Tribolium castaneum: one gene and its partners. Each later gene encodes a partner of the first gene's protein in a complex. Links are inferred from orthologs where the notes say so. Each region holds a gene or a part of one and is shown in the gene's direction. Other genes may lie near its edges.

Region 1 (5,122 bases):
GACGCCGTTCAAAGGTGGTCTGAGTATGTTATCAAAAATAAATCGTAGTTTTTGGTGCTTTTTATTGTTAGTTCAGTAATAATGGTTCTATTCTTCCAACCGCAATGTTTCTTATCATTGTTTATTTATTGTTATGGAAAGTTTTTCGTGACTTTTTATCATTCCGCATAAAAATTGTAATTTGAATCGTGTGATATCTTCAGGCCAGTGGCACTGGTTTAAATGGCGTAATCATGTGGCTAATTTTTCAAGTATTAAGCCATATATTTGTACTTTGTTAGAAATAAATCGTTTAAATCGCAATATTTTATTTAAAATTACAAAACCTAAGCTAATGAATACACACGTCCCTGAAATGTAATGTGCAGCGGCCTTTGAGGCCGGGAAATTAGATACCTAATTTGTGAATTAAAAAATACTAATAGTGAATTAAAGCGCAACTTTTAGTTCTCTCTCTGTGAAAATTTGTGCTTTGCACTTGGAGTATTCCTCCATGATACCTGATTTGTCCAAATTGGCGTCAATAATCAGGACAGGGGCCGGGCACTCAAATCTTTTCTGAAGCAACCACTCCTCATGCAAGTTGTGTATATCTTGGAAGTATTCAAGGGGCACATACTGCTCCTCAGGTCTGTTGCGTGCCAACATGCGCTGGTACGCCGTTTCTGGGGTCGTTTTCAAGTAAACTAAAATGGGGACTTACACAATGTCTCAATTTTTTCAAACTTACCAATAAGGTCAACCGATAAGTCGCAATTTTCTTTGGCCCATTTGAACCACTCGTCCATCACCGACACCGAGGCACGCTCAATGGACCCATTCCTGGCCATTTGCTCCACAAAGCAATGTCTAAATCAGTGAAATAATTACATAAAAAAACAACGCGAGAGTAATAACTACCTAGCACTGTAAATTGATCGTTCCATTAGTTTAATTGGGTGTCCCGTTTTCATGGTATGATGCTGCAGAATAGTCAACTGGACGTAAGATTGAAACGTAAAACTCCATTTTTTTGGGTCAGAGTACATTTTATCCTAATAAAACGCCAAGACTTTAAAATTTTAAAACCCCAATGAAAGGTGGTACTTACAAGTAAGTTGTACCCATTGCAGTTTCGCCACTTATTCACAGGTTCCGCGAGTACATTAACATCGTCGAATTGTTGGAAATAGTTTAAAAAAGTGGTTTTGCCACAGCCGATGTTACCCTCCACGATGACGGTGTAGGGGCGTAGGCTCGCAAATTGCTTCAAGGGGGAGCGTTTCAAGTAATCGGTGTTCATTTTGCCACGTTACACGACAAACAACGCAGTAAAAAGGCTAGGAGTAATGTTAAGGGCGGATAACAACCGGCATTACGTTTGTTTATCCACTTTCCCGCCTATTTCGAGCTAGGGGTTTTCGGTTTAGTCAGTTTAGTTGGCACCTGACATGCGCCAAAAATTTAAATTGGGGACAATTTTGCTGATTATTTTCATAAATTAGGCAACAATTACTTAGAATTCAAACGTTTAATCATTTCGTTAGTTGTCCGGTAATCGGTGTGACCCCAAAAAATGGTTTCTTTTTTATCGTCACCTGTCACACCTGTCAAACAGCTGATTTGCAGCTGATTGTAGTGTTGTTAATTTTCCGATTAACGCAAAACAGCCTTAAATGATTAGAAATCGGGTGTGTGACTAAATTTAAAATCAACCAAAGTACATTGTAGAGTTAATCGATGACTTGACAAAATTTTTAACCTCACACTCATGGCTCAGTGCAAGCAGACTCCGCAAGAATTTATAAAAAACGCCTTCACACCCCAAATTGCTGTTTTGTGCACCCCTCTCGCTGAAGGTTCTTGTCAGAAAAATAATTTGAATTTCATTGAGCTGCTCCAACCCTTTTCCAAATTGAGCAATGACGGTGGTTGCGTTCAAGTTTGGGAAAAAACCTCCCTAATTGATGTTTTTCAGTGCATTACAAAGATCCGGCCGGCACGGTTATAACAATAAGGAACCTCAAATTAACGTTTTTGGACGTGAATTCCCGACCTCCCCAAACCACTTTAGCTAGGAAATTTTTAAACTCTTCAGTGAGTGAATTGTCAGACTTCCGGACTGAGAATTTCACCACCAGCGATCACACCTTGAACATTACTTTAACAACGCCGTGGTTTGAGGCTTGGAGAGATACGTTTTTACGAGTTCAGTATCCCTCTGATCATGAATATACAAAGCATTTTTTATCGTGTGTTTTGGTTGTTTCTTCAGCTGAAATCAATGTCATTGAAAGTATTATTCAGCTGTCTCAGAGTCTGAATCAAATGCAGAATAACGCCCCTGGAAAGTTACCCAAGTGGTTTAGCTCAAATGTTTTAAAATACTATGTGATCATCCATGACAATGTTGAAGGAAATATTGATGTGTAAGTAATAATTTTTGTCATATAATTGTGAACAAATAGATTTTTTAGCGCAAATGAGGCGTACGAGTCAGTTAAAGGGTCATACGGGGAGGCGAATTGTTTTCTTTTGAGGATGAATTCACGGCCCCCAGGTGCCGCAAACACCGAGCATTTGCCGGACCCTTGGAGCCAATTCATTAGCTGTAATATTGAGTCCAGAGACTACAATCCAACCCCTGAGAGCTCACCCTACACTTCACGGGCGATTTTTGATACCAGTCAAGACTCTGATACAAAAACCAACTTAAATTACCACCCACTGAGCCCTGACACTGAGGATTTAATAATGGTAACACTTTTTGTGACCAAATACATTACTAAAATAAAAAATTAGAGCACTTCGGCAACTGAAAAAGACAAAACCGTATCAAACAACTCCAAATTAAAATCGCACGGTCTCTGCCTGTCGACTGAAGACGTCGAACAGGTGAAATTATTTTTACACGAGTTTACCAAAACCTGTCTGCTGCCTTACATCGAGAAACAAATCCACCAACTAAGCGACGTAATTTCGAACAAAAAAGGCGTCAGCAGGTCATTGTTCAGTGCGACAAAACGCTGGTTCAACCCCAATAAACCGGGCGCCAGTTCGGTTGCAGTGAATAATCTTATGTAAGTTTTATCTCCAAATATTTTTTTTCTGATGTGGGGTTTTAGCTACGCGCCTGATTCACCCGAATTGCAAGTGCGGCGACTTGGAGATCTTTATTTCATGTTTGGACATTATCTACTAGCGTTTCAAGCATATCATTTAGCTAAAAGGGACTACAACACGGATCAGGCCTGGCTGTACTACGCTGGGGCGCTCGAAATGGCCGCCTTGGCGGCTTTTATGGCGAATGAGTCGAGCAGAAAGACCTACGATTACATGGAGGAGAGCATAACCACTTACATGAACACCTGCAAGTAGGTTTCCCGTTTTGTTGCTGAATTTTCAGTCGTATTTTGCTAAATATACCGCCTTTGAAGTGCGCAACTTGAAGCTAAACAAGCACCAAATTCTATGACGTCTACAATTTTTCGTTATTTTTTTAGTGCTTGAAATGTTGTCTCATTGGAGATAAAAAAAATGCACCTACCTTTATGGCGTCTTCTTCTGCTACAGTTTATAGCAAGACATTGAAATTATAAAAAATACAAATAAAAACAAAATAAGTACAAGATACTAATACCACATATTCAACATCTCACTTGGGATAAAGAAAATGTACTTACCTTTATGGCATCTTCTTCTGCTACTGTTTGTAGCAAGACATTAAAAATAAATATAATTCAATATAATAAATATATATGAAAATAAAATCATTACCATTTATCAACATCTTACTTGGAGATTGACAATAAAATTAAAATGCACGACAACACCAAGTAACAAACTGAATAAAATTAAACGCCGCAACAATAATTGTGTAAACTAATAAAATACTAATAAAAACACTATCTGTGATATAAGATATAACTAATTTGCAGGCGGGAAACAAAGACGTTTGTTTGATTTAGTGATTTTTGTTACGACTTCGTCACTTAATTTTTTTGGGGGAAAATATACAAATATACAGGGGATGAGTTTTTAATGTCCAATCGCTGAAACTTATTTTATGAGCAAATAATTTGGCAAAATTTTTAAGTATACCTAACTTCGTTATTCTAATAAATACACAATTAATACAAAACCAGTTTTTAGGGAGAATTTAATAACATAGCCCTTAATTTTTCTCAATCCTTTGTTTAAGTGTAATAAGGCAAAAGTTTTTTATCATGTTCTTTTTCTTTAAATATTTTTCTATGTTTCAATTCCAGATTAACAATGTTCTAGTATATTTGTTAACGCATCTTTACAAAAACTTAATATGTAATAGTAGAAATAAATGAGCAAAGAATGAAATATACTGTATGTTCCGAATTTTCTGGACTGCGCAAAAATATATAAAATGGCAGCGAATGTAATACACCCTATTCATTCATATGTTTGTTTAGCTTTGAGTAACTTTCGGGTGACAACAATCTAATTTGAAATGTTTTTGTAGAGACGTTGAATTGGTAATTACATGGCACTTGACTGTATAATAATTCCGTTTGTTCTATCTTTTGACAGATTTTTTAATTCCGGTTTAGGATGCCTCAGTTTGCGACCCGAGCGACACTTTTAAGCTCCGAGTGTCTGAAAAGTAGGGGTTTGTTCGGCGAAGCGGCCCATCAATTGATACGAATGACGAGTGAAGAGTCGGATTTGAGATCGGCTCTTTTTCTGGAACAGGCCGCTTATTGTTTCCTGCATTCGAAAATGGTCAGAAAGTACGCCTTTCATATGGTTTTGGCCGGCCATAGATTCTCAAAAGCTGCTCAAAGGAAACACTCATTGCGGAGCTACAAACAAGCACACCAAATTTACGAATACAGTGGCTGGGATTTAGCTGAGGATCACATTCATTATACAATAGGGCGTCAAGCTCACAATCTCCATTCGTTTGATGAGGCGGTTAAGTCGTTTGCGCGGCTGCTTAATGGGGACAGCAAGCAGTCGGGTCAACAACAGAGCGTGTTTTTGAAGGAATATTTAACAATATTAGGGGTAAGGGCCGGACTTAGAAAAAACGTATAATATAATTTAATAATATGCCAACAGAATAAATTACTGAAAGAGGATGACGACGGTATTCCGATTTTGGCTCTAC
Region 2 (4,669 bases), on another chromosome or scaffold:
GAAGATAACAGTTTTTTGGTACAAATACGAGTGGTAAGTTCTACTTGTACAAAAAAATATTGCTTAAAAAACTTATCAGATTTGAAGAAAATGAATAAAAGTTAATAAATTCTAGTTGTACGGTATCAAATAACACAATGACGTTCGTCAAAAAGCAGGGAATAAAAGATAATATTCCGAAAATTTTTTCACCACACATGTGAAGTAATTAAAATAATTCATTTAATTTCTGAAATGGGGCCATAAGTAAAAATTGTGAAGCCCTTGCCGTTTTCAAAGAATAACCCCGCATAAAAAATGAAGGATCTAAGTTGACAGAATTATAACAAATAAGGTTTTTTGCACTCAAACACTCGAAAAAAGTACAAAACCAATCTTTCGTCGAATTTGAATTATTGAAAAAAAATGCGTAAAGATGTAAAGTTTGTTTTAATTATAAAAAATATTGTAGTGATTTTTTTAAATCCGGCTCAAAATGCAAATTCTATTGTTTAAGGAACCGCCAGTTTACACTTTTTCAACTCCATAACTCATCAGCCTTATAACGAATTGCTACAAAAATAAACGAAACTCTCTGTTTGAACTAAAATATATCGCACTGTAATTGATTATTATTTGAAGTTTTTGTGGGCGTGTTGAATTTTTGCTTCCGGAGGCAACCATACAAAACCAAACTTACGACTTCCATTTACTGACACAGTTTATCGTTTATGTAAATATTATCAGTACATAAAATCGCAGGAAGCGACTACAAAAGCCATATATTTTCGCTTAAAATAAACGAATCTCCAATTGTAGAACATCATAGCGCTGCCCCAACCGCACCCCTTAGAAGGGGCAAACAGTATGGAATTTTACGGGCAGAGGCCCTGGAGGCCCGGAAAATTATCGGCCGAGCCTCCCGACCCGCAACTGGAATCGAACGGAATCCAGGCAATTCAGTATTTGGAAAAGCAATTTGCGCACTCTGTACGTGGCAAAATCCCCCGATCATTATTTACAATTTTTGTTTCAACAGAACGCAATCGTTTCGCTCTATGGCTTGGCCATTTCGCAATACAAGACGTACAGATGCCCTCGGACGAGGCGCCACTTGGTGCTGCAAATGGCCGAGGAATATTACAACTCTCACGATTTCGGCAAAGCATTGACGTAAATATTTGCCATAAGTGACGGATTTCTATTTACACAGTTATTATTAGTCTCCTTACCCACATGCTGTGGGATTTTCGGGCGGAAAACTGGTGGCTGCTCTTGACGGATATTTTAGAGAAGGCAATCAGATGCGCTTATTTGACGGCAAGCGTCCAGGACTACGTCCTACTGAGTCTTGAAATTTTGGGGAAATACAGTAAGCTGAGCGTTGAGCAGAAAAAGCGCATCCATGAGAATCTCCAAAGGATTTTGAAGGTAAGGAGGCAACGAAAAGTATCGATTCCACGAAAAATTTAGAGACAGATTCCTTTCGGGGACCAGAAACTAACCCCCGATGTGTTACAACACGCCGTAATTCAGTGGCAGCCAAAGCTGCAAACCGAGCCGATTCACCTCTCGCTCGATTTGGGAAATGTCTCGACTTGCATTGAAACTAAGGCAACTTTCATGCAAGCGAAATACGAAGTCGATCAAAACGTTACGGTTGAAGTCTATATCAAGTACTTGAATTGTAACGTAAAAATTACAATTTTGATAAATTCGTTTAAGATGCTCGAGCCCCCTGCCTCTAACTTTCACAAAAGTCTCAGTCACGATCAATACTCCGTCGTATAATTGCGAATATGCCGTTGATAATCAGAATTTGAGTTCGAATTCTTTGGAGTTCGGCTCGGATGAGACGAAACGATTCGTTATTGATTTTGTACCCGACTCGAACGACGTCAACAGCGAGATCCAAGTGAGTTGGTGACTTTGCCAGCCCAAGTAACAATTTAAATGCTGTTTGTGAAGGTAGTTGCTGTAAAACAGCTCCTACAGATCACAAACTAAATGATAAAACCAATTTAACATTATACAGCTTGAGATTTATCACAGTTATTTAATTGTAATTGCCTTGGAGTCGTCTTTAAAACTTTTTACTTCCAGACAATCTTAACTGGTCAGGTCAGGTCAGGTCATAATTCCTAAGATAGTTTTAACAAAAGTTTTATAATACTCTTATAATTGCCAGGTGGTAGTCGTCTTTAAAACTTTTTATTCTCAGACAATCTTATTTGGTCAATAAATGAAATAAAATAAATAAATAAATAATTTGTTGTAAGAAAATACATATTTGCTTCATACACACTCACTGTAGTATTGAGAGCTGCGTTGTTTCGTGTATTAGTTAAAAGGCATTCTCTGGCAAATAACGGTTGCTCTAACGGCTAAATAGGCTATAGCCTGAGACGGTAAAAATATTTTGATTTTGATTTAAAAAATATCTAGTAGAAGATGGGTTGCATTTTTTTTAAATAAATTGATCACATTTTTAGTTTTCGTCGTATTTTTTTACCTTTAATTATTTATTGTTTAGTTAATGAGTTTTAAGAAGCAGTGTATTTTTAGTTTCAGTTCATGTTATAGTAGAAAATTCACGATGAGTAATTGTAGAAAAAACCTAATTAGTACACAGCACAGAAAAATGTCTTTATTATAGAAAAAAGTTGTAAAAATGGCTACGTTTTTTTTTTTGAAATAATTTTTTTTTAAATAAATATAAGGTGATTTTTTAATAGATATCTTGGTAAAAGAAACATTAAACAATCTGATGCATGTTTGGTGACATTACAAAGAACTTTTTTTTTTAATTTAGTTTTCAGAACTATCTTGCATTTTTACGGAACTTTTACTATTCGTAGAACTGGAATTTCTATTTTATTCAAAAATAGACTAATGAAAATAAGTAAAAAATATTTACTAAATTCTAGAGAAAATCAACCGACGAAAGAATGAAGTTAAAAACAGATACATATTTACTGACTTGTCTTTAGCTGGCTCCAACGCACGAACATTTATAGAATTTGTTTGATGTTAGAATTTTTTAATAGTTGTACATGAGTACAACAAAAAAAGTCCCTCTGTCAATAAAAATTGTCTTTTCTTAGAGTTTGTGAATTTTTCCTTATTTTCGGAATGAACCAATTTTTTTTGAAGAAAAAAATTTTATAAGGCAGGGGCTGCAAAATTAAGTAAATATGGATTAATTATCTCAGCATTTAATTGAAAATTAAACCAACTCTACGTTGAACACAGTTATAATTTCTGTCGGGAAATATTTAACTAAATACTACCTTATAAAACCATCTTGAAACTAAATGGTTTTAAAAAGGTTCTGTATGGCACTTTATGTTTTATCTAAATATTTATAGTCTTTATTAAATTAAAGCACTTTATCTGTAGTCTAAGTTGTCTTATAGTGGTTTTTATTGGCTTTTATTGAGAGTAATTTTTTTATAAGTAATTTTATATAGAAGATATAGTTTTATACGTTTAGTAGTCATATTTTACTGCTGTTAGAGTTAAAATTAAAAAATACGCACTTTCTAAACCTTGAAGAAATTGTGATAATTTTTGTTTTTTTTTCTTTTCTCAGCAGTAAAACTTAGTTGTTATCACTTTAAAAATCAGTTTAAAGAATTAACGCAGATTTTTTATATCTATAAAATAATGTTTTTACAAATGTGTATATTTTCGGTATTTATGAAGGGCGTTAAAATTTTACAAGTTCCTTAATAAATTCCATCAAAAGCTGGCCGTCGTTTCTAAATTTTCTACCTCGATATCGTGTTTTAATAGTTTTTAAAAGGGATAAAAGACAAATATAATAAATACGTAAAAATAAATACAGTCTTGTGCTCCGAGAAATAATTTCTTATAACAGTATTGAAACATAAATTTTAAAAACGAGTTATCTAAACTTTTATCTTTATTCCTGCAATAAAACCCTTTTCAATCCCAATGCTCTAACACCAGGTTTTATAAGACACTTTGAGCATGTCTTAAAACCATTTTAAAACTATTTAAAAAAAACAAATTAGTTTTATAAAGTTTTTAAAGACTAGACTTGACAACCTCCTGAAGAGTGGGCCTTTTTTCATTTTTCCTATCATTCTAAATAGTTTTAGAAACTATTCTTATAGCACTCTTCCAGACTATCATAAAACTTAAATTGTTACTTGGGAAAAAAGCTTCAAAGTCCAAATTTGAATTGGCAACATTGGGTGTTGCCAACTTAATTTAATTTCTAGATTGGCGCAATTAATTTAGTGATGGGCAACGCGAGCGAGACGAATTTGGATCTCAAATTCAGTCCGCAAAACGGCCCAAACCGCGTCTGTCCCGAACTTTTGCACTTCAAATACAGTCCCCACAAACTCAACTTCGACAATATCTCGCCCCGAACCGCCACTTTAATCATCCCGAGACATTCCAAGCTGGAAATCGGGCTCGAATATGCAATTCCGGCGCTTTTAGGCGAGTGGTTCGCCATCAAGATTGCAATAAACAACGAGGAGCTGCACGATATTAAAGACATGCGAGTCGAAGTGGCTCTGAGCAAAGACGAGACGATTAGTTTAAGTGAGTTGTTAATTTTATATTTTTTTTTATAATAATTTTGTAGCCGAATTCTCCACAAATTCGTCGGGGGTTCCCGAAAAACTGCCCCTGGTTGTGAAACTGCCCCCAACGT
Region 3 (5,204 bases), on another chromosome or scaffold:
TCTAAATGTTTGGTAGATAATGTATAAATTCCAGCAACTGGATATTGATTTTATTTCAACATTTATTTATGAGACAGTTTTATATAAAAAATTTCGTTGCGTGATTAATAGAAATTTTTTTATGATATCGGTGACGTTTTGTTAGGTTGGTATTACCACGCCTTGTCACTTTTGACGTTTCCTCTTTTGAAAGGGGTGAGTTTGTTGTCATTCCTGCGCCGCTTGAGGCGAAATATCAGTGAGATTACAAACCATACAGTGTATTTTCCAAGAATTAACTTGAAGAATTTTAGTATCATGGAGAAAACGAATCAAGAAGTGTTGGACCAAGATCTGCAAGAGGAGGGCCAGTTCGTGGTCGACGATGTGAGTAAGATCATTAAAGACGCGATAGAAACTGTGATAGGAGGCAACGCATATTCCCAAAATAAAGTCAATGACTGGACGACTTCGGTCGTGGAATGTTGCACATCAGAATTGACGAAATTGATGAAACCATACAAGTACATCGTGACCTGTACCATAATGCAGAAGAACGGGGCCGGTTTGCACACCGCTAGTTCGTGCTATTGGGATAATAACACGGATGGGAGCTGCACCGTGCGTTGGGAGAACAAGACCATGTTCTGCATTGTATCAGTATATGGATTAGCTATTTAAATATTTCAACAAGTAATTACAGTCATGGATTTGCCTTTCAAGAATAATTTATCGTATTTATAAGTTTCTACTTGATAGTGATTGTTACGTATTAATAAAGTCATTTTTTTATTTGGATTTTGTCATATTATTTACATTTGAAACTACAGTTGTTAGCTGTTTCAAAAATATAAAAACGCCAACGTCGCATTCTCTCTCAAAATTAGCTGTTATATTATTCATGCATTTCAAAAAAATAACAGCTTTGTTCGCGGTAGCGATCCTGAACTAGTTCCAGCTCTAGTACGCTGAATCCCGGATCGGTTCAGAATTAGTCCCAACGATCCTGGGACTCGACGAAGGATTTTTAGTTCTAGACGTGCGCAGTTGAAAGCGGTTTTGTCTCTGTTACTCTCATGTCTTTGAATATTTTTGAGATTGGAATCAATATAAATAAACTGTCTGTTTTGATTACCGGAATTTAGTTAATACTTTACTAAATCGTAATTATTTGTATATAAAATAATGTTTGTAAATTTGAAAATGGGTTGTTTTCTACAATTTATACCTTTTCGTTTTAGGTTTTTCGAATAACTCATTTCTAACTTTGTTCAAATTTTTGTAGCTTGTTAGTTTTTAAACATTTGTTGTGTACTTGACAACGATAAATTATCGTTTGCGGTTGACTAAAATCCATAACTGGTTCAGAACCGCACATGCGCTGTAAATAAATCCTGGACTACTTCAGAATTAGTTCTAAAAATCCTCCGCGAACAAAGCTAATAAATAGCTAATACAATTTCTTCTTTCAATGAGAGATCTTAGCATTCATAACTATTTTACAGTTTTATCAGTCTTATGTAAAAAGATAATTCGGTAAAATGTGACGTTGCTTTTTAATTAAGCTGTATAAAAATGTAAAATAGTTATTAAAGATTAGATCCCTCATTGAAACTACGGACTGTTTATAAAAGAGTGTTGGCTCTCAGGTGGTTCTGTAATTTAAATTTGCCGCATTTAATTATTTTATTACTATCAAATTTCTGAAAAGTACCAGTAAAACTAACATTGTTCGTTTTTTCTTGAACAAAACGGCAAACTTCTGAAACCTACTACGATCCTACATTCATTTATAGACAGATTGTATAAATTACATTAGCTATTAATTTTTTGAAGGGCATGAATAATTTAGAACAGTTAATTTCGAGGGAAAATGCGACGTTGGTGTTAATAATAGAAATAGAAATTCGCGCCATAAACCCATTTCAAGTTTTTCTACGATTGGCTACAGTGGATGTCAATGTCACTAATAAAAAAGTCACTCGCAAATGTCAATAAACGAACGTAAACAGACTTTCGTCGTATTTATTTATTATAAGTTCGTGTAAAGATCGAGGTATTTAGTGAATAATTGCTAGACATGTCGGAAAGCGTGCCCCCGTCCTTGAGTCAATACTTCGGCGAAAAAACCGACGATAAAGTAAAGACAATAGACCTATCCGAAGAACTAAATGAAGCTTCCACAAAAATAACCGATCTTAAACTAGATGACAATCTCCCAAGTGCTAAGAAAAACGAACCAGAAGTGTGTCGAATATTCGCCGAAACGCCACCACAAGCCAAAGATCAGACGACGTCATTCTTCGATTTAATTGGAAACAACCACAGCGTTACCTCCAACGGCTTGATATCAAACCTCGACATAACGCCAAACAACGACGTGAGTGACCTAATTGTGTGTTCCACAGTTTGGTAAATTTTTCTAGGACGGTTTTTGCCCCAGAGTGGCACTAGGCTCGGAAGCAGACCGCAGGAGAGATGCCTGGATACCTAGCGAGAGGACCAGACAATGTCTCATTGCGTGCGCCACGGCAGCCCCCGGTACGTATTTTCCAGACAGGGAGCTCCTCACCATGCCTGGGGTCCTGCTAGAAGAGGATTTGGTATGTTTGCTAAATAGTCAAAGGGGGAAAATTAAACTTATTTAAAAAGGGGGACAATATCGGGGAAGCAGTCACCTTGTGTCTTGGGGAGGCCGAAGCCGCGCAACGAAGTATCTTGTCCGAAAGCGACGTAACGCAGGACGAAAGGGGACTGAGAGAGTTAGTACAAGCGGGTTCATACCGAGCCGCAATTAATTTAACTGCGAGACTTTTAACCATTTACGGCCAGGGTCGGGGCCGCGCGGGCCATCCTAGCAAACATTCGCCCCATTCGTTACAGCTGTGGTTCACTCGTATCGCCCTTCTAGTCAAAATCAAAGCCTTTGCAGTTGCTCAATCGGAAGCTGCCCCTTTTGGTCAGCTCGACAAGCCGGACGTTTTCTACCAGGTCTCTAGCCACAAATCACCTTCGACCACTTACCGCAATTTTACAGTTTTACCCCGAGATGTATGGGGGCCGTCCAGGCTCCATCGCTTCATTTTCATTTCGTTTACTCTTAAGCGAACTGCCAATGCATTGCGGTAAACCCAAAGACTCGTTAACAAAGCTGTACAGTATGAAGTCCACGATAAAACAAATGTTGGATAACTTGAAACAGGGCTTGAGCGAGGACGGCAGCCCTATCGAAATTAGTGAGTCGGATCGCACCGATTCGATTCGACTTTGGACGGGGCGCGAGACTCGAGTCATGCACTCTATTGTTAATTGTGCCCTGGCCTTGAAAGATTATGAATTGGCAATGGTGATGATGGAAGAGTTGTGTCACAGGTGAAAAATAGGCGAGGGAAGAAAGTTTCTAATGGTGGGTTTAAGGGATGGGACGGCACGTCATATGTTGTATTCGGCGTTAGGAAGGTTGAGACTGCAAGTGGGCGACGTGGCAGGGGCGGAGACTTGTTTTGATGAAGCAAGGGCTTTGAGGGGTAACACGACGGATTTGAGGGAGTATGTGGATCGGGGGTTGCTCGCTGTGGCGCAGAATTCGTTTGATGAGGCCTATGTCTGCTTCCAGCAAGCCAGTCTCCTGGACCCCACAAATGTTATGGTAAAGTTTTTTTTTTGGTCCCTACGTATTAGCGCCAATGGTGTATGTAGATTCACAAAAACAATTCCATGTTATTCCAATTCGTTCCAATTATTTTCAAAAATGTACACCTAATAAAAAAGTATTACTAAGAAAAAAGAAGCGGCCGAATTTCGAGTGGCATTCGAAAAAGTTAGCAATAGACCTGTTATATTTTCAATAGTGAGTTATCTTTAGAGTCAAATAACTCTGAATTTACCTAAACTTAATGCTCGACTTAATATTAGTTAAATAATGACGGTTCTTTGAATTACTACCTTAGGTCTGAGTTACAAAAATTCTAAGTTAACTTAACAGAGGTTATTTCGAAGTTGTTTTTTTTTTGGCTTTAATCTGAAGTTTCTTTTTAACTCGAAATTAACTCGACATTGTCCTACTTTACCTAAGATTCTAATAAACTATGTTACTTAACAAAAAATCATTGAACGTATATTAATAATGTGATAATTATTGTTGAATAAAATTTTTCGAAATTTCTTTTGTTTTCGAGTGATGCAAAATTTTATTTATTTATTTTTTTAATGGTTAAGTTCAGAGTAAAACCTTCGCAAAACACTGGTTTGAAAACATTATTGGATTAAAAGTAATTTTTAATCTTTAACCAAAAAAATCGTCCTACCTTTAAAAACAAATAAATACGGTTTCGCATAACTAGAAAACTAAAAGGAAAATTTTATTCTTTAAAAATTATCCACAATTTTAACAGATTTGGTAGGTGATGATCATATTCTAAATTCTATTTTTTTCCATAAAGTAAATAGTTATAGAAAGTCGATTCAAGCTTTTTTGTCATTTGAAACTTTTCGCCGTATTAGAGGAAATATTGTAGAACGAGTTTTTAGCTGAAAATAGCGTAACTTTCGACCATGGAAGGCCCTTTCGACATGATATTGTAATTTTTTTTTGGGCGTGTTATTAACTTCTTTTAGGGAATTTATGCGAAATAAGTGAGTTTTTTTTTGGCTGAAAAAAGTACTAAAACCCTCGAAAAATTACATTATTATTTATTATTATTTATTATTTCTTCTGTTGTGCAAAATTTAATTTTTACACTTTTGGTTTATAAGTGTGCTCAAGCATTTGGGAACAGCAAAAATAATAATAATTTTATTAAAAGTACTAAGATTTCAAAAAAATGTAGGTGGTGATATGGTTATGCACTAGTGTATTTTTGTTAATATCTTCATGTTAATAATACCCACATTATTTGGTTTTGATAACTTAGATTATTATTTATTTTATCAATAAAAACGAAAACAAAAAACAAAACTTGCTGTGTGAATTTTAACATCAACCGCCTCTGTACACCAGTGTAGTCAGTAGGATTCATTAAAAAATTAAAATTTCCAAAGGCTAGTTTCGCCACATTTTGTGCTTTTCTCATTTAGCATTTAAGGACTTAACCAGCTGTGCTTCCCTTGCAGATCCTCAACAACATGGGGGTGTGCCTCCTCTACGGCGGCCACCTAAAGGAGGCTATTAAGGTGTTAGAAAGTGCCATAGAGTCAAATCCGGTTCACGCCCTCCATGAGTCTTT
Region 4 (5,317 bases), on another chromosome or scaffold:
TGAAGAGGATTATTGGGGCGCTGCCGCCCGACGTGACCGCAGCCACTGCCTCCACAGGTTTGTATTCAAGTTGGCAATGTTTGCATTGTGCAAGTTGTGAGTTATAGGTGTCGCCGCTTGCCACATCGGGGGGATCACCCTGCACCAGTTCGCCGGGATCGGGGCCGGCGAGGCGCCCCTGGAGCGCTCCGTCGAGCTGGCGTCGCGCCCGGGGGCTTACACGGTCTGGCGCAAGTGCAAGCACCTGATCATCGACGAGATTTCGATGGTTGACGGGTCGTATTTCGAGAAAATCGAGGCAATAGCCCGGAAAGTCAGGCGGAATGAGCAGCCTTTCGGCGGGATTCAGTTGATTTTGTGCGGGGATTTTTTCCAATTGCCTCCGGTGGCCAAAGGCAAAACTCCAGTCAAGTTCTGTTTCGAGACGGAGGCCTGGAGTCGGTGCCGATTGTCGGCGTATGAACTGAAAAAAGTCCACCGGCAAAACGACGACGAGTTTATCAAAATCTTGAATTGTGTGCGCATTGGACAAATTCCTGAAGATATGGCGACGAGATTGGCCGAAACGTCGCGACAGAATATCGAAAAGAACGGGATTTTGGCCACGAGGTTGTGCTCGCACACGCTGGAAGCGAACGCGATTAACGAAGCGAAACTTAACGCACTGCCGGGCGAAAAACTCGTCTTTACGTCCGAAGACTCACACCCGCATCTTATCAAGCAGTTGGATCAGCAAACCTCCATCCCGCACACGCTCGAATTGAAGGTTTTTATCCATTATTCACGATTTTTTTGGAAATAATTAACACAGTTTTTTAATATTCAAAGTTTGTTTTTTTGCAGGTCGGTGCGCAGGTGATGCTTTTGAAAAACATAAACATCGCCACGGGGCTCGTGAACGGCGCTCGTGGAGTCGTCAAATCCTTCCAAGAAGGTGTTCCCGTTGTGCAATTCCGTAGCAAAGAATATGTCGCAAAGCCTGAGCGCTGGTGCGTCAAAAGCGCCACCGGTGTTATGCTCACGAGGAAACAGGTGCCCCTTAAACTAGCGTGGGCTTTTTCCATTCACAAGTCCCAAGGTTTGACGTTAGATTGTGTTGAAATGTCGCTAGGAAAGGTGTTTGAAGCCGGTCAAGCTTATGTTGCGTTAAGTAGGGCCCAAAGTTTAGACACGCTGAGGGTTTTAGGGTTTAAGGCCTCGCAAGTCTGGGCCAATAAAAATGTTTTGGATTTTTATCGGTCGTTGAACTTGCAGATGGAGGCCATGAGACTTATTCCCTTGGGGAGGAGAGAGGACAAGGCAGCGGTTAAAAAATCCTACAAACCTAATGCGAAATTGATGAGCAAACCTTTAGTTACTATTAATTAAGTCGCGTATGGAGAATGATATATTTTACATTTAGATTAAGTTTAAAAGTGAGTATTCGATTAATAAAGTATTATGAAACGGTTTTTATTGGCCTGACCTGACCCGACCCTTGCCTTGTTAATTAACCACAATCTAGGCGTTTTTTACGCTTTCAGCTACAGTTAAAAAAATACAGTTTGCGAAATCGGGAAATCTTAAAGAATCTTTAAAAATTCATTAAGGTCCCAAGGGGTTCGGGTGTCCGAACATGATTTTTTTACAGTCGAAGGCCCTATCGGAGGGCTTAATCTCCTGCAAAAACAAAGAAAATTGCAGGATATAAAGGGGGTGAAAAAAATCAGTTTGCATTGCTTGAACATGAGAATAAAAAATGCAGAAATTAAATACAGTCATGTTTTAATTTGTAATAGAAACACATTTGAATGGTCAGGAGATGTTCTACCAATGTGATATGCAAATCAGCGTAACAGCTTATTGATGTTTTTACGATTATTTTGATAATTTTCCTGGTGTGAACTTGGCTGCATAAAACTATCTCTTACTCTCATAGGTTATGTTGATGTCGTGAAGTGTCAAATTGCTGACCCTAAACGTAGTTTAAGTGTAAAAAGAGTGATTTGCGCAAGAACAGGCCCCTCAGAGGCGTAAAGCAATGATCAGGTAATTATTTACGGCCAAAGAGTGCGTTTTATTCGGGGGGCGAAGTTTGAAATGTAGGTGATCCCCAGGCCTCACAAATGCGTTCTTCGGTAAGTTACATCCTTTCGAGTAGTACCAGCGAGCCAAACATGTCTCACCCCGACTACGAACAATACTCCCATGACCACGCTGCTCTCCTGGTGCTCGTACGACACATAGGCTCCCAACTAAAGCCCAAAACATTCCAAAAATTCCACGACCGTATCGCCAAACTCACCTCAGTCCGCATCACCGACTCGACGGGAAACGTCCGCACGATTCTAGTCCGTTATGTGAAGGAACACCCCGTTGAAAACAACGATTGGGGCGACTTCCAAACCCACCGACGACTCTTAGGTCTCGTCTCTCTGGGAAAATACGACTCCCAGCAAGAGCTCAATGAAATATGCCGCGTCCACGAGAGTCTCAAAGTCAAATACACCGGCACGTTATTCGATTCGCGCTGCATTTTGTTCGGCCCCACGAAGGAGGCGAGCAGCTCGCCGGAAGACACCTCGAGCCCCAACACCGACAGCAGCAGCAGCGCCCCCGAGGAGAACATCGAGAAGTTCACAACGCCTAGCAACTTCAAGACACGGGGGCTCTTCTACGACGAGAGCGCCCCGTGTGCTGACCTCGAAACCCAAATAATCGAATTCATCAATTCGCTGTTTTGGGTGCTTGAGTCCAAACGACTCGAACGCTCGCGCGAAAAGCTCGAACGGGTCTCCCTCCTGCTCGCCCCCTTTGAGAAAAAGGACTTCGTGGGGCTCGACATGGAGTCGCGCAACAACAAGAAAAAATGCACAGGCCGGATGACCAAACACTTGGGCGATTTGTGTCTGCAAGCGGGGCTGCTGGCCGAAAGCCTGGTTTATTACGGCAATGCAGCCGAGACGTTGAAGAGTGTCAACGATTGGTTGTGGCTGGGGGCCGCCTATGAGGGTTTGTGTGCCGCTTCTGCTCTAGTTTTGTACCCCGAGATGCAGCGAAGTGTGCAATTGCAACGTAACGCCAGTTTGCAAGAGGGTTCCTCGCCGAAAAAAACAGTAGTCGCGAGTAATCTTGACGTGGGGGCGAAGAAAGCCTCCGTGCCCAACACACTAGCCCCCGAGGATATCTCGAAGAGGTATCGGGAGGCGATTATTCACTACAGCAAGTATCAAAATGCGGGTGAGTTGTGTATAGTTGGTTGCATACCTTGCCAAGTTTCATTTAGGGATAGTCGAGACTGAGGCGAGTTTTAAGGCCGCCCGCATCGCTGTTGAGCAAAACCACTCACTTCAAGCCGCCTCGTTTCTACAAAACGTGGTCTACATCAATTTAACGCTCTCAGAGCAGGAAAAAATCCAGCGTTTTGAGACCTTGGCCGAACTTTATACGCAAATTGGTTTCACGCGTAAAGCCGCCTTCTGCCAACGGCTCGCCGCCACCAGATACGTCTCGCCCCAAAATCCCGCCCCCAATTGGAACCGCTGCTATAACCTCATGCTCCACAGCCTTCCCGGCCATCGCCTATCTTTAGATCCGGCCGAAATGAGGGAGGTTGAACAAGGGTGGCCAATTCTACAAATTCAATTGTTACAAGAACTGGTGGTGGCGGCGAAAAGAATGGGGCATTCGGCGTTGGCGACTCGCCACATGACGTTTTTGTTGCAAACAATGTGGCAGCATTTGACGCCGACTGAGCAGAAAGAACTGGCGATACAGTTACAAGTACGTTTTTTTTAGGGGAATAACATAATCAAGATTATTTTAGGCCTTATCGGCGCAATGTGAAGGGTCACCGGTGCCCTTGGTGTTGGACAGTGGCGTTGTTATACCACCGGCCAACTTGACCAATATTCCACTTTGCCATTCTTTTGTTTTGAGGAACTTGCAGCCCCATTTACAGCCGCGGAAAATACAGGCTGTAAAGCAGGACACGGGGCCGTTTTTGTTCACTCCAATTCATTTTGGGAGTTTGGATCGGAGGAGCACAGCGAGTCAAACTAAAATGGGTAGGGAATTTGATACACACGATTGCTTGATTAAAAAAAATTGTAGCATTTTTGTGGGTGGAGAACGAGCCTTGCGAAGTCACCCTCAAGCTGTCCAACCCCCTGCCCTTCGAGTTGAAGGTTTCGGACATGCGTTTGTTGACATCAGGTGTCGTGTTTGAGTCACTCCCCGAAACTGTGGTTTTATCACCGTCGGGGGCTCCCCCATCTGTTACGACCCTCCATGGCACGCCGCGCGAAAGCGAAGGCCAGCTCCAACTCCAAGGCTACAGCACGCACACCCTTGGCGTCAAATCCAACTGTCGGTTGAGACACATGAACGGGTTTCCACCCCATTACGAGGTCGAAATCGTCCCATCCCTTCCCTTACTCGAGGTGAAAACATCGCTCCCTCAAAGCGCCTCCTTCTCCTCATTCCACGACTACGAAAACGTCGTAACCTCAGCCAGTGTGAGTCTCCACCACGGCGAAAGCGCCGAATGCACAGTCACCATCACAAATATCGGGCATGTTGACGTGGAGATGCTCGAAGTTTCGATGCAGACGGTCCTGGAACCGGCCCTCCAAGAACAGATGTTCACTTGGTCGCAGGAGAACCTCCTAAGTCAATTGCCCCTAAAACCGAATTGTTCGGCTAGTCTGACGTTGTATTTGTACGCCGCTGGGAGTTTTCTCGTCCCGGGAGGCACAGGAAATGAATTCAGCAGTGGCGTTTTCAGTAGCAGTATTTCAGGCCCGGGCTCGTTACCCTCGCGACTGAATTCACCAACTAGTAGCAGTTTTCACAGAAATGTTAATTCGAGCTTTCGGTCCTCGAATTCGGGCCATTCGAGCATGAGCGCCACTTTACAAATCCCCCACTTGCCCATAAACCAGCAAGCATCGTCCGTTGTTGAGGGACAGTTGCAGATACGGTACAGTGGGGGGCCAGGCTTGCAAGCGTCGTATTGTCGGTGTTGTTCGGTTTTTTTGACGATTGAGACGGTGCCCTCGCTGCATGTTACCAACTGGGATGTATTACCGGCTGAGACGTGAGTGACTCCACTTGAATCAGGCCCTTGTTATTTTTTTCTTTTGTAGGAACACTCAGTTTTATTTAGTCTTGGATGTGGCCAACTTGACGTCGCAAGAAATGGAATTACAGTACACCCCGTCCAAGACAATGCTCATAGAAGGGCACGAAAGTTGCAGAGTGCCTGTGCCGGTAAAGCGGTGCCCTTTATCGAAGCTCGAAACCGGGGAAACCCTCGCAACTGGCGAATTGGATCGGA

Evidence for each region.
Region 2: l(3)76BDm (region 1) and gry share a complex: the UniProt entries of both Homo sapiens proteins name them as parts of the multisubunit TRAPP (transport protein particle) complex. The link is inferred for Tribolium castaneum from reciprocal best matches to the Homo sapiens genes TRAPPC8 and TRAPPC11.
Region 3: l(3)76BDm (region 1) and trafficking protein particle complex subunit 12 share a complex: the UniProt entries of both Homo sapiens proteins name them as parts of the multisubunit TRAPP (transport protein particle) complex. The link is inferred for Tribolium castaneum from reciprocal best matches to the Homo sapiens genes TRAPPC8 and TRAPPC12.
Region 4: l(3)76BDm (region 1) and brun share a complex: the UniProt entries of both Homo sapiens proteins name them as parts of the multisubunit TRAPP (transport protein particle) complex. The link is inferred for Tribolium castaneum from reciprocal best matches to the Homo sapiens genes TRAPPC8 and TRAPPC9.

Annotation. Positions count from the first base shown.
Region 1 is NC_087403.1:6,196,178-6,201,299, reverse strand, and holds the start of l(3)76BDm (trafficking protein particle complex subunit 8), read left to right. Parts: upstream 1-1,579; 5' UTR 1,580-1,750; coding exon 1,751-1,907; intron 1,908-1,957; coding exon 1,958-2,408; intron 2,409-2,456; coding exon 2,457-2,736; intron 2,737-2,781; coding exon 2,782-3,059; intron 3,060-3,104; coding exon 3,105-3,353; intron 3,354-4,562; coding exon 4,563-5,019; intron 5,020-5,073; coding exon 5,074-5,122. Other genes in the region: imd (protein immune deficiency), read left to right, coding at 1-48; deoxynucleoside kinase, read right to left, coding at 430-686, 731-849, 901-1,034, 1,091-1,282. UniProt on the Homo sapiens protein: Plays a role in endoplasmic reticulum to Golgi apparatus trafficking at a very early stage. Maintains together with TBC1D14 the cycling pool of ATG9 required for initiation of autophagy. Involved in collagen secretion.
Region 2 is NC_087395.1:23,290,976-23,295,644, forward strand, and holds part of gry (trafficking protein particle complex subunit 11), read left to right. Parts: intron 1-798; coding exon 799-969; intron 970-1,018; coding exon 1,019-1,152; intron 1,153-1,202; coding exon 1,203-1,410; intron 1,411-1,452; coding exon 1,453-1,655; intron 1,656-1,704; coding exon 1,705-1,894; intron 1,895-4,226; coding exon 4,227-4,557; intron 4,558-4,600; coding exon 4,601-4,669. UniProt on the Homo sapiens protein: Involved in endoplasmic reticulum to Golgi apparatus trafficking at a very early stage.
Region 3 is NC_087396.1:17,553,767-17,558,970, reverse strand, and holds the start of trafficking protein particle complex subunit 12, read left to right. Parts: upstream 1-1,921; 5' UTR 1,922-2,059; coding exon 2,060-2,359; intron 2,360-2,405; coding exon 2,406-2,582; intron 2,583-2,631; coding exon 2,632-2,970; intron 2,971-3,016; coding exon 3,017-3,351; intron 3,352-3,396; coding exon 3,397-3,628; intron 3,629-5,091; coding exon 5,092-5,204. Other genes in the region: Dlc90F (dynein light chain Tctex-type), read left to right, coding at 298-660. UniProt on the Homo sapiens protein: Component of the TRAPP complex, which is involved in endoplasmic reticulum to Golgi apparatus trafficking at a very early stage.
Region 4 is NC_087399.1:3,381,382-3,386,698, forward strand, and holds the start of brun (protein brunelleschi), read left to right. Parts: upstream 1-1,876; 5' UTR 1,877-2,028; intron 2,029-2,073; 5' UTR 2,074-2,105; coding exon 2,106-3,219; intron 3,220-3,265; coding exon 3,266-3,762; intron 3,763-3,805; coding exon 3,806-4,046; intron 4,047-4,092; coding exon 4,093-5,077; intron 5,078-5,126; coding exon 5,127-5,317. Other genes in the region: ATP-dependent DNA helicase PIF1, read left to right, coding at 1-57, 108-766, 844-1,368. UniProt on the Homo sapiens protein: Functions as an activator of NF-kappa-B through increased phosphorylation of the IKK complex. May function in neuronal cells differentiation. May play a role in vesicular transport from endoplasmic reticulum to Golgi.